Linked DNA regions of Sus scrofa. The main gene of each other region encodes a partner of the protein of the gene in region 2 in a complex. Links are inferred from orthologs where the notes say so. Each region holds a gene or a part of one and is shown on either strand. Other genes may lie near its edges. The genes, in order: RASSF5, STK3 and SAV1.

Region 1 (10,114 bases), on a different chromosome or scaffold from region 2:
TTTTCCTTAAAGAGCAGATCGGAGAGATGCCACCAAGCTGAGGCCTCCTAACAGCCACATGCCCCCAGACTAGCTGAGCTCCGACCAGGGCCTGGGCCATAGCAAATCCCCCTGCAAAATAGCCCTCGTACGTTTGGTCAGCTCAGGCCAGCTGACGAGGTCAAGTAAACGATCGCTGCATCCTGGTATGCAAGAGAACGTCGCAGCCAGGACGGAAATCAGCACAAGCAAGCTTTTTAGAAAAGGCAAGAGTGAGCCTGGAGCAGGGCCCAGGTTTTATTGATAGAAGGCTAGTCTTGCCCCAGTTGCGCTGAAGCACGCAGCCAGGCCTGTCCAAGGCAAACACAGCAGCCCAACCCAGCCGGCCCGGGAGCAGCCCGCACTCCAGGCTGAGTGCCGGCTCCACGCCCACCAGGGACTCTTGGCTCCTTCTATGTGGCTCCTTCTACATTTCAGTGGTGCTTCTGCTCTAGATGCAGCCCTGATTTAGCTTGCCAGAAGAGTCCGAGGTGGACCTGTCTTCCCAGCAGAAAGAAGGGAGTCACTCTGCTGTTAAATACTCAGACTTCTTGAAAGCACCGGTTCACTGCTGACATTCTGAGGATGAGACAAGGCAGCCAGCGAACCCCGGGCCCTGCTCTGGGGCCTTCTCGCCACCCCCACACACTTGCGAGCTGGCTAAGCCACTCCAGGGGAGGGGTTTTCAACTTCGGCAATGTTCACATTTGGGACCAGATGATTTTTTGTTGAGGGGGCACTTTCCTAGGTGATGGAGGCTGTTTACAGCATCCCTGGCCTCTACCTGCTATTGCCAGTAACCTCCCCAAGGCTGTGACAACCAAAAGTGTCTTTAGTAATTGCTGAAGTGTACCCCCCGCCCGCCTGCCCCCATTTGAGACCTGCTGCTCTAGAGGAAGAAATAGAGACCTAAAGTAGAAATCCAGGATGCAGGTGGCAGGAGTAGGATGGGAGATGGGTAGGGTCAAGGCGAATGGAAAGAAGAGAGGCTGGAAACGTCCCAATGGGAGAGAAAGCTGGAAAAACAGAGTTGTTTCAATACGATTTTTAGGAAAGGTTGTTGTGTGGTGTGCCTTTGTAATTTCCCTCCTCCACCTTTTTTTTTTTTTGTGTCTTTTTGCTATTTCTTGGGCCACTCCCGCGGCATATGGAGGTTCCCAGGCTAGGGGTCCAATCGGAGCTGCAGCCACCGGCCTACGCCAGAGCCACAGCAACGCTGGATCAGAGCTGCGTCTGCAACCTACACCACAGCTCACGGCAATGCCGGATCATTAACCCACTGAGCAAGGGCAGGGACCGAATCCGCAACCTCATGGTTCCTAGTCGGATTCGTTAACCACTGCGCCACGACGGGAACTTCCCTCCTCCACCTTCTGAAGAAAACCTTCAGCAAAAATCTGCATCATTCACCAGGGCTTTGCGGGGGTGGGATTTGTCTCCCTTCCATTTCTCACCCTGGAGGGGCCAAGCCCCTCCCAAAAGGCTCGGTTCCATTCAGGCAACATCATAAATGGTTCCAGTTCCAGAGCATGTCAGGGTGTACGTCAAAGCATATTTTTTAGAACCCATTCAATGGCATACTTATATTTATTTATTTTCTTTTTTTGTCTTTTTAGGGCTGCACCCGCGGCATGTGGAGGTTCCCAGGTTAGGGGTCGAATTGGAGCTGTAGCTGTCAGCCTACACCACAGCCACAGCAACGCCGAATCCTTAAACCCACTGAGCGAGGCCAGGGATCGAACCCGTGTCCTCATGGATACTAGTCGGGTTTGTTAACCACTGAGCCACGATGGGAATGTCTATCATTCTTATAAAAACATACATCATATTTGTTTTCTATTAATGCTTTCCCAGTGGGAGAAAAAGGCCTGGGGAACAGCAGGAGGCTGGTAACACCCATGGGAAGCGGGGCCAGGCGACTGGGCATTGTTGAACTCATGCTTCATGGCCAGAAAAAGCGTGGGGATGGCTGGTCTGGGGACTTGGGACTGGATCCCGATTCCCCAGGCCCACTCGTGCTCTCTTGAGGAAATAACCAGTCATTCACATCTATGTGTCTCTCAGCACCTGGGCCTTTTCCTTCAGAAACATGGAGTTTACTTAGTCTCGCTCTCCTAAATCCCTGGCATCACCAAAGGATGCCAAGTCCCTTACTGCATCACCAAGCCCCTGGCATTCCAGGGCCTGTCACATGGTCTATATTCAAAACATATTTGGCAAATAAATACCTGGATGATGTCCTTACTTCCTTGACCAGCAACCTTTGACGCATACATTAAGGCTTAGAATAAACATCACCTCCTCTGGGAAGTAGTCCCTGATTTCTCCCAAGAGAAACAATTGCACTGTATACTCAAAACACTTATGTAGGGCGGGGGTGATAAATTAGGAGTTTGGGATTGGTAGAGACAAACTACTATATATAAAATAGTTAAATAACAAGGTCCTACAGTATGGCACAGGGAACTGTATTCAGTATCTTGTGAAAAGAATATATACATATAACTAATGAAAAAGAATATATATATATAACTAAATCACTTTACTGTACACCAGAAACGAACGCAAGATTGTAAATCACCTATTCTTCCTTAAAAAAAAAAAAGCAAAAAACTCTTTGATTCGTGTGTTTGTTGAAGCAAACATCACATTATGTCCTATTTGGTTGTATTCTGCCTGCCCTGCCAGGATGTAAGCTCTCTGAAGACAAGAACTGTGGTGTATCATTTTTTATCCCCACTCTTACCAGTGTTTGATAATCAATGTTCAATGCAAGAATTAAAAAAAAAGAATGTATGCATGTATGTGTAAATGGGTCACCATGCTGTACAGTAGAAAATTGACAGAACACTGTAAACCAGCTATAATGGAAAAAAATAAAAATCATTTTATATATATATCTATATATCTATATATACACACACACACATATAAAACAATGCTCTCCTGTCTTCCTCCCAAATCCTTGACATCAAAAATCAAACACATCCTGGTTCAGGTGCCTTGGCAAAGCCCAGACCAAGAGCTGTTTTGGGCATCAACTTCCTGGTCCTTTGACGCAGAGAAAGGACATCTGTCCAGGCCCTCTGACGTTGATCTGGTCTGGCTGGCAGGACAATGTGCCCAGAAGCCTCAGCCCCAGCATCCCCACTGCCCCAGGGCTCGGAGGCCTCTGAGGATCCCCAGGAGCTTTCTCTGGGATTGACCATACCCACACCTATGGCTGGAGCCTTAGGCCAAAACAGGTTCTGTGCTTGGAGTGGGCCACAGGGAGGGCACTTCTGAATAATGACAGGCTTCCCTGTGTCACCGATGCTATTCCGCTTCCCCAGCCTCTTGGAAAGGATGTGTGACACTGTGATTTTTTTTTTTTTTGCCTTTTTTTTTTAGGGACACACTTTCGGCATATGGAGGTTCCCAGGCTAGGGGTCGATTCGGAGCTGTAGCTACTGGCCTACAGCCACAGCAATGCCAGATCTGAGCCTCGTCTGTGACCTACACCACAGCTCAAGGCAGCATCAGATCCTTAACCCACTGAGCGAGGCCAGGGACTGAACCTGCATCCTCGTGGATCCTAGTCGGATTTGTTTTTGCTGTGCCACAACGAGAACTCTGATACTGTGATTAATAATCAGAGATATACACATTTGATCTCTGTCTCCATTTTTGGCACAATGGAACTTCTTAAATGATGAGAGCACCAAAGGTATTTCTTGTGATGTTAATGAGGTGACTTTTTTTTTTTTTTTTTTTTTTGGTCTTTTTGCCATTTCTTGGGCTGTTCCCGAGGCATATGGAGGTTCCCAGGCTAGGGGTTGAATCGGAGCTGTAGCTGCCGGCCTACGCCAGAGCCACAGCAACACAGGATCCGAGCCGCGTCTGCAACCTACACCACAGCTCATGGCAACGCCAGATCCTTAACCCACTGAGCAAGGCCAGGGATCGAACCTGCAACCTCATGGTTCCTAGTTGGATTCGTTAACCACTGAGCCATGACAGGAATTCCGAGGTGACTTCTTTAAAATTAAAATTGTCGGTTTTATTTTTAAATTTTTTTTGTCTTTTGTCTTTTTAGGGCCGCACCTATGGCATGTGGAGGTTCCCAGCTAGAGGTTGAATTGGAGCTGTAGCTACTGTAGCTACACCACAGCCACAGCAATGTGGGATCCGAGCCACATCTGTAACCCACACCGTAACTCATGGCAACACCAGATCCTTAGCCCACTGAGCAAGGGAAGGGATTGAGCCCACGTCCTCATGGATACTATTCTGGTTCGTTAACCATTAAGTCAAGATGGGAATTCCATGAGGTGACTTTTGGATCCCACCTAAGGATGCAGGCTAGTTGCCAGGAGAACCAACCAAGTATGAGAGGATTAGAACTTTCAGATGGACGCCCCTGACCTCTGGGGAACAGAGAGAGGCCGGAGGGTGGATCAATCGCCAATGGCCAACAATTTGATCAATCATGTCTGTATAATGAAGCCTCTGTAAGGTCCTGGAAGTTTGGGGCTCAGAGAGCTTCTGGGTTGGGAAACATGGGGAGGAGCAGGGAGGGCACCTCTGGAGAGGACATGAAAGTTTGTGCACCTCCCCCACCTGGCCCTCTGCATCTCTTCCATCTGGTTGCTCCTGAGTTATATCCTTTTATAATAAACTGGCGATCTAGTAAGTTTCAAATGTTTCTTTGAGTTCTGTGAGCTGCTCTAACAAATGCATTGAGCCCAAAGACAGAGCTGTGGCAACCTCCCACCTACAGCCTGTTGGTCCGAAGCATGGGTGACAACATACTCTTACAACTGGTATCTGAGGTGGTGGGTGGGGGGTGCAGAGTACAGCACTGAGCTGAACTACAGGGCACCCACTGGGTGTCAGAGGGTGGTGGTGTGGGGAAACCCCCCACATTGGAACTGGGCGCAGACTCGAAGAGTGTGCTATGGACCCCAACTGGCCAGAAGGGGACCCCCAACATCCAGCGTACATGGAACACTCTCGCCACCCATGCTCCCCAGAGCCCCTGGGAGGGACAGGGGAACCTGGGGGCACCTCAGGAGGCTGTCGCCAACCTGGAGCTCGAGCCCTCCCGCCTACCTGGCTGAAGGTTGCAGTGAGGGTGCTTTCTGGAGAGGGTCTGTCCTGGGAGGAGCCTTCCTGCTGACTGCAGTCCAGCTGGATCAGGCTGCGGCACTCAGGGTGGCAGGTGAATTTGCAGTCTGGAGGGAGAGAACCGCAGAGGGATTAGGGGCCAGACAGGAGGCCCAGAAAAAGGCCCTGGGAGGCGGCATGTAGCTCCTGGAGGGCGGTGGAGGGGGAAGAACACCATGAGAATGACTCGCTCTCTCTGAACTACCATGAGTAGGGAAGGTGAATAGGTGCTTTACAGTTTGCAATCTAGTTTTTGTTTAGAATTTGCAATCTCCTTTTTGTTTTTGTCTTCCTCTTCTTTTTAGGGCTGTACCCATAGCACATGGAGGTTCCCAGGCCAGGGGTCAAATCAGAGCTGCAGCTGTGGACCTTCATCACAGCCTCATCCACAGCCACTCCAGATCCAAGTCACATCTGCCATCTCCACCACAGCTCATGGCAACGCCGGATCCTTAACCCACTGAGCAAGGCCAGGATTGAACCTACATCCTCATGGATACGAGTTGGGTTCATGACCTCTGAGCCACAATGGGAGCTCCCAGTATGTAAACTGTTTCCACCTCCATTATTGTGTGTGACCCTGCAACCATGATTACCGCCACTTTGCCGACAGGAAACTGGGGCCTAGGGTGACTTTCTCAAGGGCAGATCATCTGGCTTCAGGCTGGTGCTCTTTCTACTAATTGATGTTAATCATCAGAGGCCCCAATCCCTGTGGAAGAACTTAACTTTTCCTGGCCTTGTTTTGCAGGCTGTAAAACAGGTAATAATGGCCCTGCCTGGTGCACAAGGATGATTACAGTTATAGAGGAGAACGGGTCTTAACAAATTAAAGGTGGGAGTTCCTGTGTTGTGGCGCAGCAGAAATGAACCCGACTAGGAACCATGAGGTTGCAGGTTCGATCCCTGGCTTTTCTCAGTGGGTTAAAGATCCAGCGTGCCATGAGCTGTGGTGTAGGTCGAAGACGCGGCTCAGATCCTGCATTGCTGTGGCTGTGGCATAAGCTGGCAGCTATAGCTCCGATTAGACCCCTAGCCTGGGAACCTCCATATGCCACAGGTAAGGCTCTAAAAAGACAAAAAACAAAACAAAACAAAATACCCAAAAAACAAAAAGAACCCCAACAAATTAAAGGTTTCTCCAGGGACAAAGGCATGATCACCAACAGGAAGGGCTGTCACGTCTCTCTGACACAGTGCCATCTAGAAATGCGAGGTGGCTCCTCTAACTTGGCTGACATGGCCTGCAGACAACATTCCAAATGAGGCTTTGGAGGAAAGCACACATTTGTTTCACATCCATGGAAGTAAGACAATGACCAGTGTTCAGCAGACCATGGGGGGTTACCTCAGAGATGGGGAAACTGAGGCCCAGAGAGGTAAAGCACGGTGCCCAATGACACACGGCTCAGTGGCACAGCCAAGGTTGCAAGCAGTTTCCAGCTTCCCCAAGGGCCCTCTCTGAAGCCTCCTTGGCAGAAGGGAGGTGAAGTTGAAGGGGACAGGAGGCCGGGAGGTTGGGGCAGGTGAAGGCAGGGAGGATGGGAGAGAAAAAAAGGTTGGCAGTGAAAGAAATCCGTCCAAGCCCATCAGCAGGCACAAGGCTCAGGCTGGAGGTTGGTTCCCACAGAAGCTGCTGGGCCCATCAGGGTCACCAGCCCTGGAGGTGCCACAGCTCAGCCAGAAGGCCCTGCTGAGGGAGGCTGCCAGAGTCTTAATGAGAAGGTTGCTGGACCGTGTCACCCGGTACATAGGGGTGGGCTGGGGTGGGCAGGGCTTGTGGCAGGAGACAGCCTGGACATGTCTGGATAATCTGGGGACGAAGGGACAGCTTTATGTTGGGCTCAGTCTCCTGACACTCTTTTCCTTCCTTTTTTTTTTTTTTTTTTTTTGTCTTTTTGCCATTTCTTGGGCCATTCCTGCGGCATATGGAGGTTCCCAGGCTAGGAGTCCAATCGGAGCTGTAGCTGCCAGCCTACACCAACAGCCACAGCAATGCCAGATCCTTAACCCACTGAGCAAGGCCAGGGATCGAACCTGCAACCTCATGGTTCCTAGTCGGATTCGTTAACCACTGAGCCATGAAGGGAACTCCCCCCTCCCCTTTTTTTTTTTGGGCCACACCTGCCGCATGTAGAAGTTCCAGGGGTCAAACTGTTAGGCCACCAAGGAGCTCCCTCTTTTCCTTCCTTTTAACAAGCTCCAGAACCACAGCACCTGGGGACCCTCTTTTTGTTGTTGTTTTTGTTTTTTAGGGCCGCTCCCGCGGCATATGGAGGTTCCCAGGCTAGGGGTCCAATCGGAGCTACAGCTGCTGGCCTACACCACAGCCACAGCAACAAGGGATTCAAGCGCTGTCTGCGACCTGCACCACAGCTCACAGCAACGCCAGATCCTTAACCCACTGAGCGAGGCCAGGGATCGAACCCACATCCTCATGGATACTAGTTGGATTTGTTTTTGCTACACCACAACAGGAACTCCCTGGATCATCTTTTTAAAGCTGCTGTAGCACAGTCTTTCTTAGGGTGGCAGTGGGTGGGTCTCCCCACTCTTTTGGAGCGTTTTGGAAGGAGAACCCCACTTTCCCCAGCTGCCCCCTTTCTTACCTCCCCAAGGATGAGCACCCGGCTCACATTTCTTGATCTTAATACTTTCAGGGGAGCGCCTGGCCAATGCAGGGACAGGAAGGGATCCCAGAACCCAGCAACCCTCTGACTCAATGGTCTGAAGTCCTGACCACCTTCCTAGGGTGGCATTTAGAAGCCCTACCGCTCACCTCCCCTGTGCCTGCAGGTCAAGTCCACTGACATCCCCTCCTTCAGACCCCAACCTTGCCTAGACTTCCTGATTCTTCTCCCGAGAAGCTGTGCTCCCACTGGAGATGGGGTGGGTGGAGGACCGCACCCCTGCCAGCAGCCACTCGCATTCCTGGGCCCCCAGCAGGAGACCCAGGCACCGGGTGAAGGGCACGGGGGGTTGTGCAGGCCAAGTCTCCCTGCCCACAGTGCCCAGAAATGCCAGGGCTTTGATAAGGGAGCGCCAAGGCCAGAACCCACACAGGGCAGCATTGTTCCCGGCTCCACTCCGGGACACACCTGTGCAGCTCCTGGCCACGCTCTGAGCGATGAAGAATGCTCTGCGGATGCCAAGTGGGAAGCAGGAGTGAGAGCTGCCACCAGCTGCCAAAGGGGAGAGTGTCTGGGGAGAGGAGAAAGTTCTCCTGTCTCCTCTTTCAATTCCATGTCAGCAGGCGGTCTGTGTCCATCTGTGCAACTGAATCTCTCCATGTCTGTCTGTCTATCTCGCTCTCACACACACAGACATACACACACACATATTCTGAAAACAGCACCAAAACCCTTGGGAGATTTTTTTGTTGTTGTTTTTGTATTTGTTTTTTTAAACAGGTCTGATGCTGAGCTGGACAGAGTTAGGACCCAGAAGACTCCAAGAGGGGTGCTTCGGGATTGTATAAAAAGCACATTTGAGCACTAGTGGGTCTGTCCCATCTGACCGTGTAATCACAGACTGTCGCAAAACCACGGAAGCATGGCTTGATATTTCCTGGCCCCTAGAAATGCTAACTAAGCCCCGGGCTTTTAGGCCAGCCAAGATGAAGTCAGAGTCCCCATGCCCTGCTCTGCACACAGAGGCAGGCCCCGCCTCACGTGCCCTGAGTGGGGACACCTGTGAGAGTCCCAGGTCAGGGTCGCATTCCACTGGGACTCAGTGCTTGAACCTGCACGGGCCATCTTTCCCACAAGATAGCTCCTCTTGAGGTGCTGCCAAGCCCACCCGTGTCCTTGGTCCCATCATGTCCCGCATGGCCCTCAGCTGGTGCTCAGTCTGGATGAGGACAGAGACAGGGACTTGGGTGGCATGGGGCTCAGCCTCCCCTGGACAGCCAGCACCTCATCTTTGGCAACAACGTTGGTGTCTTGAGCACGGACTTTCCCGTGCCCCGTGCTCTCCTGAGGGTGAGGATGAATGAGACAGGGTCCCAGGGGGAGCCCGGTGGGCTGGACCAACAGGACTCACAGGTGAAAAGGTAACTATCAAGAGAGGAAGCCCAGAGCAGGGCCCAGATCTAGGAAGGTCATTCTGAGGACACAGACACCTGTTGGCCATGGCAGTCAGGAAGGCTTCTTAGTGGAGGAGGCTATGGGGAGCTTGAAGAATGGATCAGGCTTCTGTCACTCATTGCAGGGGCCGAAAGGAGGCAGGGACTCTGACATTGAAGGATGCACAGGATAAGCATCTCCCCAGCAAAAAGCAGTGAGAAACTTGGGAGCGATACTCCTAGGTTCTAAGTGCAGCTGTCTTAGGAAGAAGTGGCCTTCCTTCTCCCCTTCCTTCCTTCCTTCCCCATACCTGCAGCATGTGGAAATTCCCAGGCCAGAGTTCAAACCTGAGCCATAGCAGTGACAATACCAGATCCTTAACCCACTAGGCCACCAGGGAACTCCTGGCATTTCTTGACTTCAGAATTTTCATCTATCAAACAAAATTATCCCTTCCCCTCCCCACCCTTCCCTTCCAGCCACAGGCCCTGTCCCCATTTCCAAGGACTTTTTAAGGAAAAGAAATGTGCTTTCAGGTTTGGGAAGAGGGGCCTATGGACACAGAAGGGGCCAATTTTAGGATGAGTGGTGGAGACACAGCCACAGGGGCTTTCTCCAAAGAGGGAGCTCTGCACCAGGATAGGGAGGGGACTCCCAGGGGCCACCCTCAGACCCGGGCTGTATTGGCTTCCTCGCTGCTATAACAGAGCACCGTGAACTAGGTGGCTTAAAACGGAAATGTATTGTCTCTCAGTTCTGGGGCTAGAAGTTTGAAATCAAAGCCTTGGCAGGGCCATGCTCCCTCCGAAGCCTGCAGGAGGCTCCTTCCCGGTGATTTGCTGGCAATCTTTGGTGTTTCTTGGCTGTAGCAGCCTCGCTTCAAACTC
Region 2 (10,550 bases):
CTTGCCCTGGAACTTAAATTTGTATATAACAGAAACTGATTTTCTCCTTATAACTGATGTACATAAGGAGGGTGGATTTTGTAAAATGGAAGGAATTTTTGTTTTGCTTCACTCCAGCCCAGATCAATTTAAACTACAGCACTTTTTTTCTGAGTAAAGCGATAGAACTTAGTGATAGTTTATTACATACAGACTTGAGTCATTATTTTACTCACATGAATACATATTCTATATTTTCACCGAGCCCTATTCTGTATCTTCTATATCTTTTCCTCCATAGGTCTTCGTTAAATAAATCTAGTGTAGATTGGTGGTTCTCAAAGTGTGATCTGGGTACCCCTGGGAGTACCGGAGAGCCTTTCAGGGGGATAACAAGATCAAACTATTTTAAAAAATAACACTAGGAATTCCTGTCATGGCTCAGTTAACAAACCCGATTAGCACCCATGAGGATGAGGGTTCGATCCCTGGCCTCACTTAGTGGGTTAAGGATGTGGCAGTGTCGTGAGCTGTGGTGTAGCTTGCAGATTCAGCTCAGATCTAGCATTGCTGTGGCTGTGGCGTAGGCTGGCGGCTGCAGCTCTTATAGGACCCCTAGCCTGGAAACCTCCATATGCCGCAGATGCAGCCCTTTTTAAAAAAAAGATAACAACAACAAAAATACCAAAACTCAGCTCTAATTTTATGTGCCTTTTTCATTTTCACTTAAGATTGCTATGATACAAGAGGATAGTGGTTGAATTCAATGCAACATACTAGTTCAATGCTAACTATAAAATAAGTTAGAAAAGAGGAAAGAGATCAAGTGAAAAGGCTTTGTAAATCTGCTTTTTTTATAGGAAAAACTTTTGAATTCCCTAGCAAATAAAAAGTTATGTAATGTAACATATTGGAGCAGTGTCTTCCCTTTGTCCCAAACTCTTCTTGATAAAAAGGATTAAGTTGATTAATTAGTATTATTTTTCAAATAAGTAGAAAATTGAGGAAAAAATGAGTCATCCAATTGCAGTTTTAATAAATAGCAGCAACCAGTATAGCAAGGAAATTTTTTTAAATTAAAAAAAATTTTTTTCTACCTATAAAACACGGCAGTGTATGTATTCACTGACAACAAACGCACTTTTGCTTTTCAAAGGAACCCAGTTCCAAACTGAAAATCTCTCTGCTATTTCTCAGAGCATTCAGTTGGGAATTCCAGTGGGCTGTTTGCTAGTATAATTAAAGTGCACACTTAATTTCGATTCCAGTTGGAAGGTCAGAAGCAGGAACAGATTATGCTGCTTTCACAGTTAAGTGAAGCTGAGTGACCCTTATCTGAATCTCAAATTTTCCTCCAGCTTTCTTTTGTTCATGAGTGCTGCTGCTTCTTATTTGCAAGTTGAAAGATGATTTCTTTGCTTTCCTTCTTGGAATCCCCAGGCTGGCTTGCCATAGACAAATTAAAACAGAGAGTTGAGTCTTTTTTTTTTTTTTTCTTCCCTGAGTAATTCAGGGGAAAAACAATTCCTTTTATTCTGTAACACAGAACACACCAGGCCCACTGGCCTCGGGGCTGTAGACTAAGTGTTCCCTCCGCCTCACAGTTATCTTCCTACAGCGCTCAGCAGGGCTCTCCTCCGCTCTTCCTCCTCAATCACCCTCTCATGAAGGCCCCCTCTGGCCATGCTTTCCAAGTTCCATCCCTTCCCCTCCACTTTATTTTCTCTTTCTCCATTTTATTTTTCGTCCTAGCAGATGTCAGTACTATATACATCCACATATATACTGGTTTCATGGTCACACCAGAGGCATATAGAAGTTCCCCGGGCCAGGGATTGAATCTAAGCTGCAGCTGCCACAACACTGGATCCTTTACCCCATTGCACAAGACAGGGTAGAACCCACACCTCTGTAGCAACCCGAGCAACTGCAGTCGGATTCCTAACTCACTTTGCCATAGCAAGCACTCCCTCAGTACTGAACATTTTTGATTACTTATTTGTCTTACTATGTTTCACCAACCAGAATGTAAACAACACGAGGACAGGGATTTTTGTCAAATTTCTTTACTCATGGATCCCCAGTGCCCACGACAGTGCCTACATACACGATTGCTCAGTTAGCATTTATTGAATGACTTACAGGGGGATAAGGCATGGCTTTGGAGTTATAAGGGCATGGGTTAGAATGCAGATTTTCTGTGTGGCCTAGGATAACTCCCTCCACCCATTTGAACCTCAATTTCTTCACTTAAAGCAGAAATAACTAGCAAACAAGGCAGTTTCAAGGGTTTAATGAGAGCATGTGGGCCAAGTGTCTGATCCCATTGGGGTCACACAACAATTGTTAGCGCTCTCCCTTTTGGGTTGAGGGGAGACCTCAGATATTTACTTTCTGATATTATTCCTCTTCCTTCCACAAACCTTCTTTATGGGTGTCTATCAATTTAATTCAGTAGAAAACCCTTTAGAAGGTACACTCAAATTAGGGCCATAGGAGGAGGGTTGAGGTCTAGGGGGTGTGGGGAATAGAGGAGGAATCCAGAGAATTGCAGAGCAGTCACCACCCTCAGGCCCAAAGGGATTAGGAGAGTTGGGCCCTAGGAGACCTTGCAGGAAAGGAACCAGGGGAATAAATAGCCTGAAATTACATTCTTTTCTTCTTACATGATCTCCTACTGGGTCTCCCTATCATCTGACTCAAACATAAGTCAGAGAGCTGAGAGCCCAATGATGCCAGTCATACAGGTTGGCCCCAGGGCAAAGAGCAGATGGAGAAGGATGGAGAGTGAATCTAAGGAAGTAAAAGGAAGCTACCCAATCTGGTGCCCTTGCTGTGTGTCAGGTACTTGTTATGCAAGGGATAGGAGAGAATAAAGACAGTCTGGTTCTCAACAGACTCACAGTTGGGTTGAGATGACAGTCAAATAAATAGAACTTCAATACAGTGTGATAAGAATCCTAAAAAAGCCAGTAGAGTGGATTATGGGGGCATGGAAGAGAGGCATCTCTTTCATAATTGAAGTGTTGGAGGTAGTGGGGTGGTGGTTCGGCTGGTTTGATTGGGAAAGGCTTCCATGAGATTAAGGTTAGTAACACAATTTAATCCATCTTTTAAAGTATATTATAATTTTGGAATTCCACTGTGGCTCAGCGGTAAGGGATCTGATTACTATCCATGAGGATGCGGCTATGATCCCTGGCCTCGCTCAGTGGGTTAAAGGATCCAGTGTTGCTGTGAGCTGTGGTGTCGGTCCCAGATGTGGCTCTGATCTGGCATTGCTGTGACTGTGGTGTAGGCTGGCAGCTGTAGCTCTGATTCGACCCCTAGCCTGGGAACTTCCATATGCTGCAGGTGTGAACCTACAAAGACCAAAAAAAAAAAAAAAAAGTGTTATAATTTGAGCCCATTAAAAACGTGTCAGTTTTCAAAAAAGATACAATGATTTTCCCTGAAAGAGATTTTTTTCTGATAAAGTATAAGGAGATGGGACTAGAGCATGGAAGTGAGGGTGAGTGTGAGGGACAGAATGAAGTAATTTCGAAGGTTTTTCCTAGCTTTGACATCTTAATGATTGTCTTGTTACTTCTGAACTGTTAGACTGTGGATCTTTAATAAATGCAAACAAGTATAAATTCTGTAATAATCTCTCCTGTCCATAGAATTTGACTTTAGGTTTCAACAATGAGTTGAATGGTCTTATAATAGATATTATAAGATAATACAAGAAAAAGAGGTATGTGTACACACACACACACACACACACACACACACACACACATGGCTGAGTCACTTTGCTGACAGCAGAAATTGGCACAACATTGTAAATCAACTATAATTTAAAAAATGACCTAAACAAACAGGAAATGGCCTTAACAAACTTTAAGTTTAGGGGGAGAATAAAATGGTTTGAAAATAAATCATGTAATTTTATTACATAGAAAAAACTTAAAATAACGTAAAAGGAGGACTGTCTCCATACATAAGTATAATTTGGATTAATGTTCACAACATTCTCTTCATACCTTTTGTTTTAATCTTCATCGTGACAATTTCTGACAAAAACAAGCTAGGTCATTACATAGCACCATGTAAGGTCATAAGAAAGATACCTATAGGAGTTCCTGTTATGGCTCAGCAGTTAACGAAGCAGGCTTGTATCCATGAGGACACAGGTTTGATCCCTGACCTTGCTCAGTGGGTTAAGGATCTGGTGTTGCTGTGAGCTGTGGAGAAGGTCACAGATGTGCCTTGGATCCTGTGTTGCTGTGGCTGTGGTGTAGGCCAGCAGCTACACCTCTGATTCAACCCCTAGCCTGGCCATATGCTGTGGGTGAGGCCCTAAAAAAAAAAAAAAGAAAAGAAAAACAAAAAAACAAAAAACCCTCTATAGATGAAATTTAAGGTTAAATGGTACACACACAATATGGATGCATGAAGGAGTCAAATTACAAATGTCTTGGGGACAGGTGAGGGTGAGGGTGGCAAAAGGGAAGGAAAGAAACTCTTCTTGAGTACTTTTCTATGTACCATAATCTGTGACAGGTTTGCCAGCAGTGCACTGAATCCAGTGCATGAGAGATCTCACTGCAGTAATTATTTTCTTTGTAATTAGACATAATTATTGCGAGGAGTTTGTCCACAATTAAAATCAAACAAGAACTTCCAGAAGCACCCCTCGTAGTGGGGGATGGCTGGGGGAAAACATAACCAATAATTATAAAGAGAACTAGAGAGGGAAGTGTCGGCAGCTAGTACTTCAAAAGGCTGCTGAAGATGTTTGGGAGGTATTCTTGAGAAATCCAGTGAAATGAGTCAAATCTGATTGGGGCAAAAGCAATGAAGGCAAGTGAGGAGCGGCAGCTTTGGCCCACTTCAAAGGAATGCCCCAGGCCAGCAAGCAGAGGCTCTGGGACCCGACTAGGCCTCACCCTCTCCCCATTCCAATCCCAGCTCCTTTTCTCTCCTCCCCGCCCAGTGGCTGGCCCCTTGCCTCCGCCCCCGGCCCCGCCCACTGGCAGCCCTCCCCGGCGCCTGGCTCCGCCTACCACGCCTGGGCCGCGGCCGGCTCCGCCCACCCTCCCAGGACTGCGGCCCCCGGCGGAGGGGCGGGGCGGGCCGGGAGGAGCCGCTTTCGCAAGCGGGAGGGGGATCCGCCGCGGAGTTACGGGAAAGTTGGTCCGAGTTCCTGGAGTTTCCCTCTGTGGTTCCCTGGGCTCGGCTGGCCGGTTCCTCGGCTCCTTGCCCGACTCCGGCCTTCGCCGCCCACCTGGTCCCTCCTTCTGCCCCCGGCCGCCATGGAGCAGCCGCCGGCGCCCAAGAGGTAACGAACGCGGGGAGCAAGGAGAAGGAGGGAGGCGGTGCCGGCGGCCGCTGGGCGGGGGCCGCTAGGCCGGGCTGGATCGCGACCCCTTCCCTGACTGCCGGGCCGGGAGCCTGGAGTTCCGGGGGTCTCGAGGCCGGTCCGAGTGTAGGGCCGCGTCGGTCCGTGCGGCGAGGGGACCCTGAGGGAGGCCGAGTCTCGTTTCCCCTGCGGCCCGCCGGGCCTGGAGCGCGTGGAAAGTCGGTGGGCAGCGCCGGGCGCCCAGCGGCTGGACTCCTGGGGCGGGCAGAGTTTTCCCTCGTGGCAAGTTCACGAAGCTGGGGGACGTAAAACTAGGAAATTATTGGACTTCTTACTATAGGCTTTCTTGTCAAATGTTTTCCATAATATGCACCCCCCTTTTTTTGAGAAAGCGGGCTGTTTACTTACACTTCAAGGAATTAAATATTAATAGCTACAGTGTGTTAGCTACAGTGTCTGTAAAACTTATTGTAGATGTGCTGCACTGACAGGTGTTCCTCCCCCTTCCTCCACACGTTCAAAAGTATTTATGGATGCAAGACAGAAATCTTAAATTAGAACCCCACCCCCCATACAGGTTTGGTTTTTTTTGTTTGTTTTTTTTTAGCATGTAAAAACAGTGATGCTTTGATATTTACTGTTTATATTTATTCTTTGATATACTGGATGTGTAAGAGTACACAGTAGATACTTTTGAACTGATATTTGAAGTGCTCTTGGGAAGCTAAATCAAGGCTTTCCATAGATATTTATTCTCAGTGTGCGTCCCCACACCCAACAATGAATCAGTCCACTGATATTGGATAAAACATTTAAGTCTTTCATTTTTCATTTATAAAATAAGAGTATTAATCTCTCTCCCAGATGATGCTTTTGGTGAGGACTAGAGTGTTTTGATACCTAGAGAGTTTAAGTGAAAGGTGGTATATTCAAGAACATGAAATAATTAAAAAGATAGAAACTCTGTGAGCTGTTGTGAATTGTGTCACTGGACATGTGAGCCTTGAGGCTTGGAAACCATCTGTTCAGGTGCGAAAGGGGGGTTGTGGAGAAGTTTCCAAAAGAGACCTGCTGTCATGCAGAGCCCTTGATAGATTCTTTTCTGGCATTCTACAATATCCCAATTCTAATATTGATTGGGTACCCAGTTTTAATACTATAGAAGAAAACTGGATACAGTTTTTCCCCCATTTTGTTTCTGAATGGCTGTAAGGGGCACCTTGGCGATAGTACTTTAAGGCCAAGGTGAACAGCTCTGAATGGAAGTAGAAGCTCTGTATGGATTAGCTCTGCTCTAAGTTATCAGAGTTTCACTCTGGGTGTTGGAGAACCCCTGCCCCTGCAGGGACACGGGAGAGCCTGGAGGGGTGGGGGGAGGTGTGTGTAGTATATGTCAGCATTCCATGCTGACTTATACTTTTCAAAGTGGTGGTTACACATTTGAGCAACTTATTTTTAGCTCTTTTCAGAGAGACATGTTGATCCAGGAAAGCATTTTTAAAGAGCTAAAGATATGTGGCAATCCCATGTATTTGAATATCTCTTCATATTTTTTCATAACATTTTCTTTTTTGTAATATCATTTAATCTTTATAGCAGCCCTATAGAGTCGTTAGGATTACAGACATTAATCCTGTTTTATAGGCAAGAAACTAAGAGAGTTCGTCACGTAGAAGGCTATGGCAGGGATAACCGACAGTGAGGTTTTGTGTTTCCCCCTTAATCATTACCCTCTAATAATGAAATATAGCTGCCTTTTTTTGAGGTCTTACTATTTGCCAGGAATTTTATATATGCATTCTTTTTTTTTTTTTTTTTTTTGGCTGTGCCCTCCAGGCATATGGAAGTTCCTGGGCTAGGGATTGAACCTAAACCCCAGCAGTGACAGTGCTGAATCCTTAACTGCTAGGCCATCAGGGAATGCCTGTGTTTACATTTTTATACTTTATTGTCCCAAGAAATAGGAATCTTGGCTCTGTAGCTGACTATGCTAGGTCAGACTTAAATTTCTTCATCTGTAAAGTGTGATTTGAGGAGAAAAATGAGGTCATATGTAAAGCACTTAGCACAGTGATTCATAATATGTTAGTTATTTCTTTATATTTTCTTTATTAAATGAAGCCTGGAGAGATTAAATAACTTGATCAGGTGGAGAAGGTGCCAGAACCCTGGGCCTGATGGGCTCCAAGGGTTGTGCACCCTCTCATTATAGACAGTGATGCCTCTTTTTCAGAACTCTCTCTTGCTTTCTTAGCATTCCATGATGTGGTGGTCATCTCTTTCTATAATCTTCTGGTCCCTTTTGCTTGTTTTCTTCTTAATCCCTGTAAGAATGCCACTTTTATTTTCTGCCTTGAGTAGCACTTACTTAAGGTGCAGACATTTTTACATGGTCACATGTATGTTACTGATGATCAAGTCTGTGTGCTCAGTTAGTATTTTTGATTTTTTCATGTAGCTCCATTCTTTCATTATCCTATTTAGTTTGTCACTAGATCCTGTCAAATTTTTCATCAAAAAGTCTGTGGATTCATTTCCCCCCCACTTTAATTTCCATGCCTACTACCCCATTCCAGGGTTTTAAGATCCTCACTGTTGATTTATAGCGGTGCTTTCCAATTAGGCACTGTAATCCAGTGATTATCAAAAAATTTTAATAGCAGAAATATTTCAACAGCACAAGGGCGTTCTTTGGAGTAGAGTCAGGGCACCAGAACCTGGTTCCCAGTGCCTTATTTCCTTCTGTTCTCCTTTTGGGGTCCTACAGAACCTAACGATTCACAGAACGCTGCTTTAGTTCATCCTGCATGTGGCTTCTGATTTATTTTGCTAAAACATTACTTTAGTCATTCTACTCTTTTTATTTTTTTTGGATTGGGGCTCATTAGTTGACAAGGTCCCCCCTCACTTGTTCTCAACTTTAACCCCCAGCCTTTAGTTACTTCTCCAAGCTGAATCTGCCCTTCTAAAGTTTCCCTGTTGTTCTTTAAGTAGGTTATAGGCTAGGTACTTCCACCTTTGCCTTTGTGTTTCCTTTAGAAAAGTTTTTGTTATCTTTTGCCAGTAATCTATGTTTTATTCATTCTTCAAGACCTGCTTCATAAAGTATCTTATTTGAGTACAATCTAGCCTAAGATACCTCTCTGTATTCCTCATATGATGTCCATTTGAGTATTCATCTTCAAATTGTTCTTTTTTTAATTTCAGAATTTTAGACATCCAAAAGATAATGGGGACTAATTTAGTAAATACTTACCTGTCATTACCCAGCTCTAGAAATAAAATATCTCCAATGCAATTGAAGCCCCCTAAGTATATTTCTTCTCAGTTGCATCCCCTCCCAACCCCCAAAGGGTTGTCACTGTTCCGAATTGTGTATTTGTCATTTCCATACTTGTCTTTATACTTTCAATGTACTGTTCTAATATATCTGACATAGCATTGGGCCTGGGTGTTAGGCCCAGCTTTGTCACTGACTTTGAAATTTCCTTCTTTGGGTATCATCTGGGAGTTAGAGATTCCAGTGTGCAGCCAGATCTGAGAATCTAGTGACTGGATGGTCTGTTAGGTCCCTCTTACCTTCACATTATTGATTTGGTCTCCCCAACAAGGCTCGTGTTAAACATAGGCAATAGATGTGGTCACCCATGGCACTGACTTGAGGATCAGAATGGCCTTTAGATTCCCCAGATTTCCTTAACAGTTCTGTCACAGAGGGCTTTAAAAGTCCTTATTGAAATGAAGTCCATCTGAGAAGAGAAATCCATTAAATGGTTATTAATTGTTAGTATTTTGGTAGGTTGAGCTTATCAGATTGCTTTGTAGGGAAACTACTGGATGGCAAAGAAATGATCACAGAATAGGTAAGTTTTGGTAGGTAAAAGGGGAAGTGACCAAACACAGGCTCTTCTCCAAGTAGAACATTCATAGAAGGGAAGGTAGGTCTCTTATGATAGATAGATGGGCAGCATGAGAACACTTGCTGCTGGAGGGTAGGTAGTTATACCCAGTACTTGTCAAAGAGAGGATGGAATATCTTTGCTGGAAAGATAGACTTTGCCAAATAGGCCTTATTCCTGTTAGGTTATAAGATTAATAATTATTTAAAATTAAAAATTCATTGATTAAGTTATAATTGGAGGACAAGTCAATGTGGAACAGTGAAAACACTGGATGGATAATAAGAAAGTAAACTCCTTTACCTTATTTACTCTCAAGATAAGGAGGGTTCTTTGATTTCAGCTATAGTTGGATTCTATGGCAATTTTTTTTTTTTTTTTACTGTGAAAAGGTAGTTAGTTTGGAGGACGTATAGTTGAAGATCAAAGTCAAAATGTTAGGGTTACAAAGTGCATTCACACAGATGAAGAGTGAAGGTAAGAAAACAATCATTTCATAAGGGAAAGAAAGTATTGCTCTGAGTGAATGGATTATCAGTCAGAAGATAGATTATCATGGAATGAAAAAGCCAAGGTAAAGGGAAAAGGGTATAGAAGGGTAAGGTAGAAGGTAATTATATGTTCCTCAGCATGAAGAACCCATATCTGCCTGTAGCATCAGTGGCTCTGACCTTAGGCTGGAAATTAGGAACAGAGATAAATGTTAGAAAGTAAAATTCTTGTGTGCTTATTATCAGAGAGATTCACAATCTGGGGAGCTGGAGTTGTCTTTAAGAAGATGAACTTGAAGAACTCTTAAAAACAAAGGCAGTGGCCTCAGGGAGTTGGGGGAATCTTCCAACTTTAGAGGCAGGCAAGTGGAAGAGGTGTTCTAAGTGGTCCAGTGGGAGAATAATCCAGCAAACAGGAGCATTTCTTTGCATTAATGACTTGGTCCCTAAAGCATATCTGTCCTCACTTTGGCTTTTCTTGGTTAATCCAGGATGGCACCAACTCCATTAGAATTGATTTAGGCCCTGTAAATGGGAACAATCAATTGGCTTTTCCTTCCTGGAGAGAGGAGTATGACAACATTTGGAGCAGTTCCTGGTGAGCAAACCCCAGCTGCACATTCAAAAAGGAGATAAACTCCATCTTATTCAACTCTAGGCAATGATTAATTTATCTATTGTTCTTTAAGGGGCCGAGATAGAGCATATACTAGTACTTTTGGAATTTGTTGGAAATGTAAAGAAAAAGGTAAACATATGTTAAACACAGCTAGGTTGAAATTTTTTTTCTGAAGTAATCCCAAAAAATTCTTGTATGCATTCCAGAAATGTGTATTA
Region 3 (10,114 bases), on a different chromosome or scaffold from region 2:
ACATTATATACAAAAATTTATCACCCAAATCCCATTTTATGTTTTGAATGGTAATATTTAAACCATCCAATTCCAGGCAATATTCCACATGAAAGCAGTAGACATCTTTTTTTAAATACTGCATAGGTTATCTCTCTGCTTTTTTTTTTTTTTTCTCTGCCTTTTCTAGGGCCGCTCCCTCAGCATATGGAGGTTCCCAGGCTAGGAGTCTAATTGGAGCTGTAGCCACCAGCCTACACCACAGCCACAGCAACGTGGGATCCGAGCTGCGTCTGCAACCTACACCACAGCTCATGGCAACACCAGATCCTTAATCCACTGAGCAAGGCCAGGGATCGAACCTAAAACCTCATGGTTCCTACTCAGATTCGTTAACCCCTGCGCCACAATGGGAACTCCCTCTCTGCTTTTTAAAGAAAGGTACTGCTACTATAAGAGTTTACTGACTGATAATTTCCTACTTAATATCTGGTTAAATGACATTTCTTGCTACATTTGTTGCCATCAAGAATATTCAAAGCAGTTTCCAAATATACAGCATTTAGAAGTGTTTGCCAGGTTGGCTCTTAAAATGATAAACTCACTTTTTTCTTAATAAAAGAATATTTTTAATAACAAAATATATGTAAAATTAGATTTATGATGTCCAAAAAAGTAAGCTGCCTTTTTAACCAAAGTACTTGTTTGCAGTTTTTCATTTGTGAAAAGATTTTAAAGCCCTTAAATTTTATTTATAAAAATTAACTTAAAAATTCTTGCCATGTTGCTGGGCATACCACTGTTGTCTCTGCTTGCGATTTTCCAACTCTGTGAGAAGAGCCTGTCTGTAGGCTTCATACATTTTAACAATCTGTTCCAGTTCTTTCATGAAAAGCAACTTCAGCATTCCCTGGTATGTATCCAGGTCAGCCAGCTGGAAGAGTTCCCACTTGAGAATGTGGTCATATCTGTTTTAAAACACAATCAAACATATTCACAATGTATTCATAAATATGTATTTATAGTAGTAAACTGGTCTGTTTTTATAAATATCAATTTTACTAAAACTAAATATATCATAAACCTTAAAATAACTGAGTTATTAACTGCTAGTTAAATAGACTATTTTTTAGGGAAAGGAGAAAACTGCTAATATTACTTCATTTCAATTGAAGTTAAAAAATACCCATTTCTATTCATCTTAAATGTCAGTTATTCTAATATTAACACTAGACAATGAACACAGATTTCCAACCACTGTGGTTCTATAATTTCTAAAGAACACATTCCACTCTATACATAAGCTCATTCAAAGTTAACTGTCAGGAACTTAAGAATACTTTAGACAACACTGCTCTTGTAAAGAACAATACACAAAAATGGGCAAGATCATTTGTGTCATTAGTGTTGAGACCTGCTGTTCACTACAGGAAACAAGGAGCTAAACAGAGAAAGGAAAAGGAATTATCATTTGTGGGCTACATTTTCCTGAGGTTGAGTATACAGTATTATAAACTGAACAGAACAACACAAGCAGAAAGGAAAGAATAAGCTCTTTACGAAATGAGAAAACAAACTACACAATGTGGGATGGACTCACCTAAGATTATATTTATATACATTTCCAAAGTCCTTCTTCAGTGGTAAGCTGAGATGGAAGTATGCAACAGACTACTAAAGCAGTAATTTTCACTTTGGAATGAAAGGGGTCTGAGGACAGGACTCTAATCCAGTCTTCTCACTTTATACATGAAACCTAGAGAAGCTATATACATCTCTCTTGCAAAACTGTTTAGTGACTAAAAGATCAGAAAGAGAATTATGGACCAAGATGCATCGGAGTAATAGTTCTGATGTTAATACCTACCAAGACTAGAGAAAGAACTTGACCTACAGCAAGGCATATATTTATATAATATTAAAGTTATACTTCTCAAATCATATTGCAGAATGGACATAACAGGAAGACCTTCAATTGTAAATTCTAATAAATTTATTCTTAGTAATTATTGACAAGATTTCCTACCTGATTGATGATCCTCTGATGGGGAACTCATTTACCATCTTATTCCCAAAGGAACATCTAACATTTTTTAAAAATGGACAAAGTAAACAAATACAGAGCTTGGCGTGCTGCCATACCTCTCTGTACAACTTGGGTATGTGTACTAGGAATACCAGAAGCACAAAACACAAGATCAAAAAGTAAACATTTTGTTGGATACCAAATTTACTAATTACTTAATGAGCACTGAAAATTTACTAATAGAAATATCTCTTTAGTGAGAAACTCCAACTACTTGCGGACATAAATTGGAGAACTAGCATGAGAAATACTCAATGAGCCCCTGTGAAAAAAGTTTTAAGATGTTTCCTAGAACTTCTGCCATTCATGTACCTTAAGATTTCACTTATTTGTTTGAAACAAATTCATAATTCCTAACAAAAACCTTCATCTTTCTAAGTCTGAACTACATTAACTAAGGAGCATTTCAGCAGTGTCCACAGATTCAAGATGCTTAAATTTATGCCAGGTGAACTCTAAAAATGTTAAAGCTCATTTATTGCCTATGTACTTTCTAGCAAGGGAGAAAAAAAAAAAAAGAGAGAATTAATAGGGTAATCTTGGTAAATACCGTGCTTATTCCCAATCACAGCATTTAGCATCAAGAATAGGATTCTGAGTAGAAGCAACAAAATCAGGATAATTAGTGAAAATACTTTGGGAAGAAGAAAAAGCACTTTAAGGAAAAGCATAAATGAGCAAAGTATGCAATGTGCCAATTTCCATTCCAAATTCTTGTCCCTGCTGTTTCTATGCAGTTACTTCCCTTCTGCCTATGCTTGCTTTTATTTTTTTAGAAAAGTATGTAATTCCCATTCTTCTTCACAAGCCAAATGATCTGCTTCAGTTTACCTTTTAGCCACTATGCTCTAAATACACAGGTAAATCATTCAGAAAATAGGCTGTAAACTACTCCAATATCCTTCCTTTTCTTATAGCACCTCTTTTGCTGTTTTTTCTTAGGGCAGTATTCTATCCAAACAGTACTTATAAATAACACATATATATATATATTCAAACAATAATTGCTGTAATGCTACCAAAAAAACCATGTGCACACTCCAGTGGATGCTGCCCTCAGGAGCCAAAAGCTGCTGTTCCCAGCCCTGGTTATTATAGTGTAGCCCCAGTTCCCTGTGCCTGTCTTATGTAACAGTGTACCCACTCCTTTCCTCCTACACCCAGAAATGAGTCAACAGTCATACAGCAGGAACACCAAGTCACAGGAATAAAATAAGGGTCTGTGCCACAATGCTGTTGGGTGTGTGTGTGTGTATGTGAAGAATAATGGAAAGTAAACATGTCCCTAATGGTCTTTTTCCTGTTAATGATTAAATCTTATAAATTTACCCTGTAGTTCAACTAGAATTACAGTTATATGATACATGACAGGCTTCTGTGAACAAATTTAGAAGCATAACTAAAATTAATAAAAATTTAAAACATCTGTTCTAAAGGTACATGTGCAAAAATTACTTTGCTAAATTATTGCTAAAGACAAAATTAAGGCATTTTTAGGAAATAAGATGTCAACTGTTTAACAAAAGGAAGAAACACGCTAATTTTTGGCTAAAACCTCTTTTTTATTAAGTAACTGATTCTCCATTATCTACTTCAAAGAACAGTTCACCTTTTGTTGACAAGACAATAGTAACCATTTCCATCCTCTTCAGAGATAAAAATTTAGGATCAACTAAAAGGTAACAGGTCTCTAGACCTCTTGTTTTAAGCAGTAAAATACATACTCTCTATTCTTACCGGCCAATTTTTGGAAAGTTCTGATCTATTTGGGGAAAAAAAAAAAAAAAAAAAAAAAAAAAGTTGATAGTTTCCTAAAGTTTTATAACTAGCTCATAGAACCTGAGTTGAAAGGGATTATAATCTTTGAGTTATTTTTTCTCATAAGAAGCAAAGAATTCCATTTTAGTACTATTTTTTCCCCAAAAAGGAAAAGCTTTCTATGTTATTTCTTTCTACAATGGCTATAGAGTAGCAATAACATAAAGTAGAAAGAATAACCCTCCTCAATCTTATCAGCTTCCAGAAGTGACAAATGTTTAACAGACACACATTCCTCCAGACTTAAGGAAATATATGAATATATTATATATGACTTAGGATCAGCATATGAACAAGAGCTATGTACAATACAAGGTCAGTGGTATCATGATTGAAAGAAGAGGGGAGAAAGGAAAAAAAGTCCATCTGGTATGATTCCTCATCCTATTCCTATACTATATGGATATTATCAGATAAAGAGGCTTCTGTAGGTTAGCTCAGACACCAAACTATGCTTAATTTCTGTGAATATGTACATAATTTCAAGTAAACTAAAGCCAAACTGCTGACAAGCTCTGTTTACACCTTGCAGGATAATATTTATAACTAAAACGTTAAAAAATACACTGACAAGGCCTAAATTTGACTTATGGGAAAAAAAATCCTAATGCTTTCAGATCAGAGTCCTCAAATACCATCTTGTCTTTCTGCACCAGGCCACAGAGATCAATAGCTGTGAGTTTATAGCACCTGGCCACAGAGATCAATAGCTGTGAGTTTATAAACTGAGAAGATCGGGGAAAGTGTAAGGGAATGTTTATGTTGGCCAATAATTAACAAATATTTCATAGTAAATGACCAATAACTTTATGATATTTAATTATTCTAAGTTCACTGTACAACCATCTTTCTAAAATTCTTCTGTGGGCTATTTTATGCTGATAATTTTGGTTTTTGAAACACAAAAGGAGTACTGAGAATAAACGTACAAAACATCACTTTATATAGTTGTTAACAGTACTGTACATGTAATTATTATGTGTAAAATACAAAGTACCAGGAATTTGATACTCAGTAAATGGTAATTAGTATTAAGAAAGTAGTAATGACAAAAATTAAGAGTATGAAGAGTATGAACTTTGAAGTTAAAGGTTTAAAATCCACCACTTAACAGTTGTGTGATCTGGGAAGAAACAAAATTTTTTTCAACTATAAAACAGACTGAGGAAGGTTCTATGAGATAACCTACCTAAAGGTTTATAGTACAATATGGAACACAGGTAGCAACAGCTATTTACTTTTAAACCCCCACCCCCTTTTTTTAGTTCCCTTTTTGGTTGCACCCATAGCATATGGAAATCCCAGGCCAGGAATCGAATCTGAGCTGCAGCTATGACCTATGCCACAGCTGTGGCAACATCAGCCACACCAACCCCACTGAGCTGGGCTGGGGATCACACCCACCCCTCAGCAGCAACCCAGGCCACTGCAGAGACAACGCTGGATCTGAAACCTGCTGCACCACAGTGAGGACTCCCAAAAACCCCCTTTTCTGAAATCACAGCACTCTGTATATACCACTGATACTAATCCTTATCACATTGGGTTATTAATCTGAGTAGCTACTTCTGCTTTCCCAGAAGAGAAGCTCTTTGAGGCAAATATTTCATTTATTCATGAATACATTCTAAGAACAGTGCCTATTATGGCACCCAACAAATATCCTCAATGAGCTTCGCAAACTCGGAGCCATCTATAAAAACTAGCTCATGTATTTTCCTCTTTTAGTGCAGCTTTCCTTGCTCACTCACTATAATAATAAGAAACCATAACTAAGGGACTTACCCAAGTCACCCACTATGCCCATTTGCTTTAAAATGCATGATTGCTTTTAAGCCTCACCAGGAGTAAGGTAGGTAAGGTAACTAAGATTACCCGCTGTGTTTCAGTAGAGGAAAAACACTGAGAACTAAGTTCAGTAACTTGCCCAAGGTCATTCACTAAGTAGGTGATGGAAACAGAAATCACGCTTTCCTTCCAACCAGTTTCCCTCACAAGCAATATTAACCACTATTCTGTACCTTCACCCCTAATAATAACAATCATTTACTAAGCTTTCTCAATGTTCAAGACACTGTTATACATGTTTTAGATGCATTGTTTTATTGAGTACTTAATAGGCTTAAGAATAGGTACTATTTACTATCTCCAGTTTATAGAAGACAAAACTAAGTTAAGCACCCTGTCCAGGGTAACAATGTGTCAGTGAACACAGAACATCTCAGAACTTTAGCCACCATGCACAGTATTTCCTCAACACCCTTGTGTCCTTAAGTTATGCTCTTTTTCACATGTGCATCTAGGACTTCTCTGGGTCCCTCCTTTTATCACAAGAGATTGTATCACTAATTTACAAGTTATTCTACCCCTATGAGAATGTAAGCCTTTTACTGAATCCATGTAATAGCACAAGTTGGCACACAAAGAAAGTGAAGATTCAATAAAACTTTGTAAAACTTCTGTTTCTAATCAATAACTTTTCAACTTTACAAACTCTGATAGCCTTTCTTCAAATAAAATATCATTTAAAAGCCCAGTATTATTAAGAGAAAAAACATGGTGCTACACAGGTAAAACAGCCCAGAGACTCCATTCCGCTCTCCATTCACTTTTCAACAAAAATTTGTGCTATAAATTCACTTACTTCACAGGGGCTCGAGCATAAACCTGAAGCCAGTCAGGAATTTCTGCAGCATGATACGGATTTGCAGGTACCAGAAGGGACTGATTTCTTTCAGTTTGCTGTGGCTGGTATGTAACAGGAGGAGGTTGATCATATCGAGGTACGCTAAGAATAAAGAACATTCATTAGGATAAAGGCCCTCAATGAAACAAGAAATAGTAATAAGTGTTTTTCAATATGCCTCTTGCCCCAAATTCTACCACCTAAAAAACATAAAAATCTTGGCTTTTTAAAAAAAGGGAAGTAAAATCCACCTTCTCTTGGAAAATTGTAGGTCATTAATGATGGATATAAAACTAAACTAAATCTTAACATATTTTTAAGAGATTTCTCTGGTTGGTATTTATTCTTTTCAAGGGCAACTTCAAAAAAGGCCATAAAAAAAGTCAGAGCTAAGTTATAACCTTTAGACAGAGGCTTAAAACTAGAATCATAAATTTTAGTAACAGTAGTAATTAGCTGTAAATTTATATTGGAAGGCTTGATAATTTTTCTCAAGATAAAAATGGATATTTTCTTCCTCCTTTAGGCTGAAAAGGGGGTTTGGAGTAGGTACTATAGCAGGAGTGAGTACTATGCTTGAAATGCCCACATTAGCTGTACTATTTTTTTCTGCTTTTAATAACTTTAAGAAAGTATATGGGAATTAGAATTGTTCAGAACCTGTTTTAAATCAGAGACTTAAAAAAGCCAACTCTTGGAGTTCCCGTCGTGGCACAGTGGTTAACGAATCCGACTAGGAACCATGAGGTTGAGGGTTCGGTCCCTGCCCTTGCTCAGTGGGTTAACGATCCGGCGTTGCCGTGAGCTGTGGTGTAGGTTGCAGACGTGGCTCGGATCCAGCGTTGCTGTGGCTCTGGCGTAGGCTGGCAGCTACAGCTCCGATTCAACCCCTAGCCTGGGAACCTCCATATGCCGCGGGAGCGGCCCAAGAAATAGCAACAACAACAACAACAACAAAAAAAAAAGACAAAAAAAAAAAAAAAAAAAGCCAACTCTTTTAACTAGTTCTAACAGGTCTGTGTATATTGGGGAGGAAAGAGAACAGCAAGGTGGGCTGGGGGCTGTTATAAATGGAAAATCTTAAGGAAAGCACTGGGCCACTTGAAGGTTAAAGACTGAATTGTGGGAGACCAAAAACGGCCTATCCTTAACTTGGATACTAAGTTGGAAATTGCCTCCAAACATAAAGATTTATGTGTATATCAGAAAAGGTCATTTGATAACTAAACTAGGACAAAGTAAGTGCTGGGTTAGACTATGGTTAACAATTTAAAGATCAATGTGCAAATGGCACTGAATTTTATCTTCATTTCTTTTTTCATAGATAGGTACAAAGTGAAATATCCCTTGATGTCACAAATGGAAGGTGGGAAAGAACTAAGGCTTTGAAGTCAGATACCCCCTGAGGGGGGGGCGGTGTTGGGTTGGGGCAGTTAACCTCAGTTTGGCCACTTATAGGTTGTATGAATGTAGGCAAAACTGCTTCACTTCTCTTATCCTCAGCCTCCTTATTTGTAAAACTGGAGCTAAACAGTAAATGACCTAATATATGTCAAGAGTTCTATATACTGACTGGCATAATATAGATAGTTAAATGGCTACTAATTAATTCTACTTGAGCCTAAGACATTTATTCTCTCTTTAAAGTTTAAAGTTGATTTGCGGAGAGACACAAATTAAATTATTGTGAAAATTCTTCATAAACTATAAAAATTCCGTAATAAAATTAATGACGGTAAACAGAAAACTAAGTTCCATATACTCTCAAATCTGGTTATAAGGAACAGAAAGCCTCTGCCACCTAGTGATAGCAAACTGTAACCACATGTTTTTGTTGTTTTTTTTTCCTGCATTTCTATCATTTACTCATTCAACAAACATCTACCTATGTGTGTCTCTATATTGGGTGCTGGGGACACAGAAGGAATTAGTGGGACTTACTATGCCCTTCGGTGGGGACTGTGACCAGGTGGGAGTGAAGCTACAAATTACTCACATGTCACAGGCCTGAAAATGGAAGCCAGGGAAAGTGCAGTTTGCTTGCAATGGTAAAAAGAATAGGCAAAGGGGCCTGAGCTTAACACAGGCAGAGCAGTTGACTTGGTTCTTTTGAAGGGATGACAACTTCAGTTGTTTAATAAATATTGACTGAGTGCCACTAAATGGAATCCATGAAAAAAATGCTTTTCAAAGTTGAATTAATAAATCCAAATGTGTAAAACTGTTAAAACAATACAGCAATGATAAAGCTTAGTTTTCTGGATGATAATGTGAAAATTTATTTTCATAATGATATTAATGGTTCTAAAAAACACAAATGCTTGCTCTAACCAAGTATCTATATTATGCTAGATATACTAAGCAACACCTATCAAAATGCTGATGATATTCTACCCATTTTTAATTTTATGGCTCAGTTCTTGAGAGCTCAAATATAGTTAACTAGAAATGTTGCAATTTCCATACTAGACTTTCTATATACTTTGAAGTCCAATGTGTACATGTATAACACACTTCAATTTGGCTTAGTCATATTTCAAGTGCTCAATAGCCATATATGACAACTGGCTAAAGAATTCATAGTAGAAGTTTGGCCATAAAAGAGATCTACTGATAAGGCCAACATCATCAAAACAGCCCAAAGGATCATTGGTTGCATTTATCAAACAGATTTGAGATGTTCTGTGCATTTCCAATTTTTGCTTTCTTGCCTGGCAAATAGCAAGACATGTAATTCAAAACATATATTCTGGCACATTATAAGGCAGGTCTGTATTTTTTATAAAAATTTAAATGTAAGGAGATAGATGTTTTATTTACTTGCTTCAATTTCCAGGTATCTTTAACAAAAAGCAGAATCTGATCACAAGAATGTAGATCTTGTTTTTGAGGCTATTTAAAAAGTTTTTAACTATTAAAGTAATTCACTACTAAATATAAGTCCAGAGAAAAATCTCATAAACTTTGAAAAACATAGTTTTCAAATTAAACTTCAGGATGCCTTTCTCTTTAATGAAAATATGAATTTACAGCTTAACATTATACAATCTCAAAACAAAGAGATAAAATAAAGTTGATATTTTACCTAGGAGCACAGGGATGCCTATATTGAGCCTTTTTATTTGTGTGATCTACATAATAGGTTCCAAATTCTGATGACTCAACTCGCTCCCATCCTGGAGGAAGTCCTTCTCGCTCAAGAGGATGGCTCCAATGAGTTGTATTTGTGTTGTGATCTATATAGTATTTCCTCCCTCTCATTGTCCAGTCCACAGACCAGCCAGGAGGAAGGGGTAAATCTTCAGAACCATGGTTTGTTAAATTTCCTAAAGATGTAGCAGCAATTCTCCCAATACCTGAAAAGAAAGAAAAAGAGAATAGAACAATTATTCATAGCTAAAAAAAAAATGACATATGAGAAACACAAAATTAACTATCTCAATCATACCCTTCTGTTAAAAGCCATGATTTTACATTAATAGATTTTTCATAAAACTAGCCAGTATTCCTATTATTTAATTACAAAAGGGAGGAACCAGACTTCC

The links.
Region 1: the proteins of STK3 (region 2) and RASSF5 are in contact, whole or in part, in a crystal structure (PDB 4LGD), measured with the Homo sapiens proteins. The link is inferred for Sus scrofa from reciprocal best matches to the Homo sapiens genes STK3 and RASSF5. Residues at the interface, in NP_006272.2 of Homo sapiens: Phe437, Phe439, Leu440, Leu445, Leu448, Gln449, Arg451, Leu452, Leu455, Asp456, Met458, Met459, Glu462, Ile463, Leu466, Arg467, Tyr470, Lys473, Arg474, Pro476, Ile477, Leu478, Ala480, Met481, Lys484, Gln488; in NP_872604.1 of Homo sapiens: Trp369, Asp370, Ala371, Phe372, Ile374, Leu377, Gln378, Phe380, Leu381, Leu384, Glu385, Glu387, Glu388, Lys391, Ile392, Val395, Gln396, Lys398, Tyr399, Phe402, Arg403, Lys405, Leu406, Ala409, Leu410, Ser413.
Region 3: the proteins of STK3 (region 2) and SAV1 are in contact, whole or in part, in a crystal structure (PDB 6AO5), measured with the Homo sapiens proteins. The link is inferred for Sus scrofa from reciprocal best matches to the Homo sapiens genes STK3 and SAV1. Residues at the interface, in NP_006272.2 of Homo sapiens: Trp429, Lys430, Val431, Pro432, Gln433, Gly435, Phe437, Phe439, Leu440, Lys441, Asn442, Leu443, Ser444, Leu445, Leu448, Gln449, Arg451, Leu452, Leu455, Asp456, Met458, Met459, Glu462, Ile463, Leu466, Arg467, Arg469, Tyr470, Ala472, Lys473; in NP_068590.1 of Homo sapiens: Tyr311, Ala312, Arg313, Ala314, Pro315, Asp319, Trp324, Glu325, Phe327, Gln328, Leu329, Leu332, Asp333, Gln336, Leu339, Lys340, Leu342, Phe343, Glu346, Leu347, Ile350, Val351, Met353, Tyr354, Ala356, Tyr357, Arg358, Ala360, Leu361, Leu362.

Annotation. Positions count from the first base shown.
Region 1 is NC_010451.4:67,178,881-67,188,994, reverse strand, and holds part of RASSF5 (ras association domain-containing protein 5), read right to left. Parts: intron 5,232-10,114; coding exon 5,110-5,231; intron 1-5,109. UniProt on the Homo sapiens protein: Potential tumor suppressor. Seems to be involved in lymphocyte adhesion by linking RAP1A activation upon T-cell receptor or chemokine stimulation to integrin activation.
Region 2 is NC_010446.5:38,006,761-38,017,310, forward strand, and holds the start of STK3 (serine/threonine-protein kinase 3), read left to right. Parts: upstream 1-5,041; 5' UTR 5,042-5,276; coding exon 5,277-5,302; intron 5,303-10,550. UniProt on the Homo sapiens protein: Stress-activated, pro-apoptotic kinase which, following caspase-cleavage, enters the nucleus and induces chromatin condensation followed by internucleosomal DNA fragmentation.
Region 3 is NC_010443.5:180,406,859-180,416,972, forward strand, and holds part of SAV1 (protein salvador homolog 1), read right to left. Parts: intron 9,926-10,114; coding exon 9,655-9,925; intron 6,672-9,654; coding exon 6,528-6,671; intron 948-6,527; coding exon 746-947; 3' UTR 1-745. UniProt on the Homo sapiens protein: Regulator of STK3/MST2 and STK4/MST1 in the Hippo signaling pathway which plays a pivotal role in organ size control and tumor suppression by restricting proliferation and promoting apoptosis.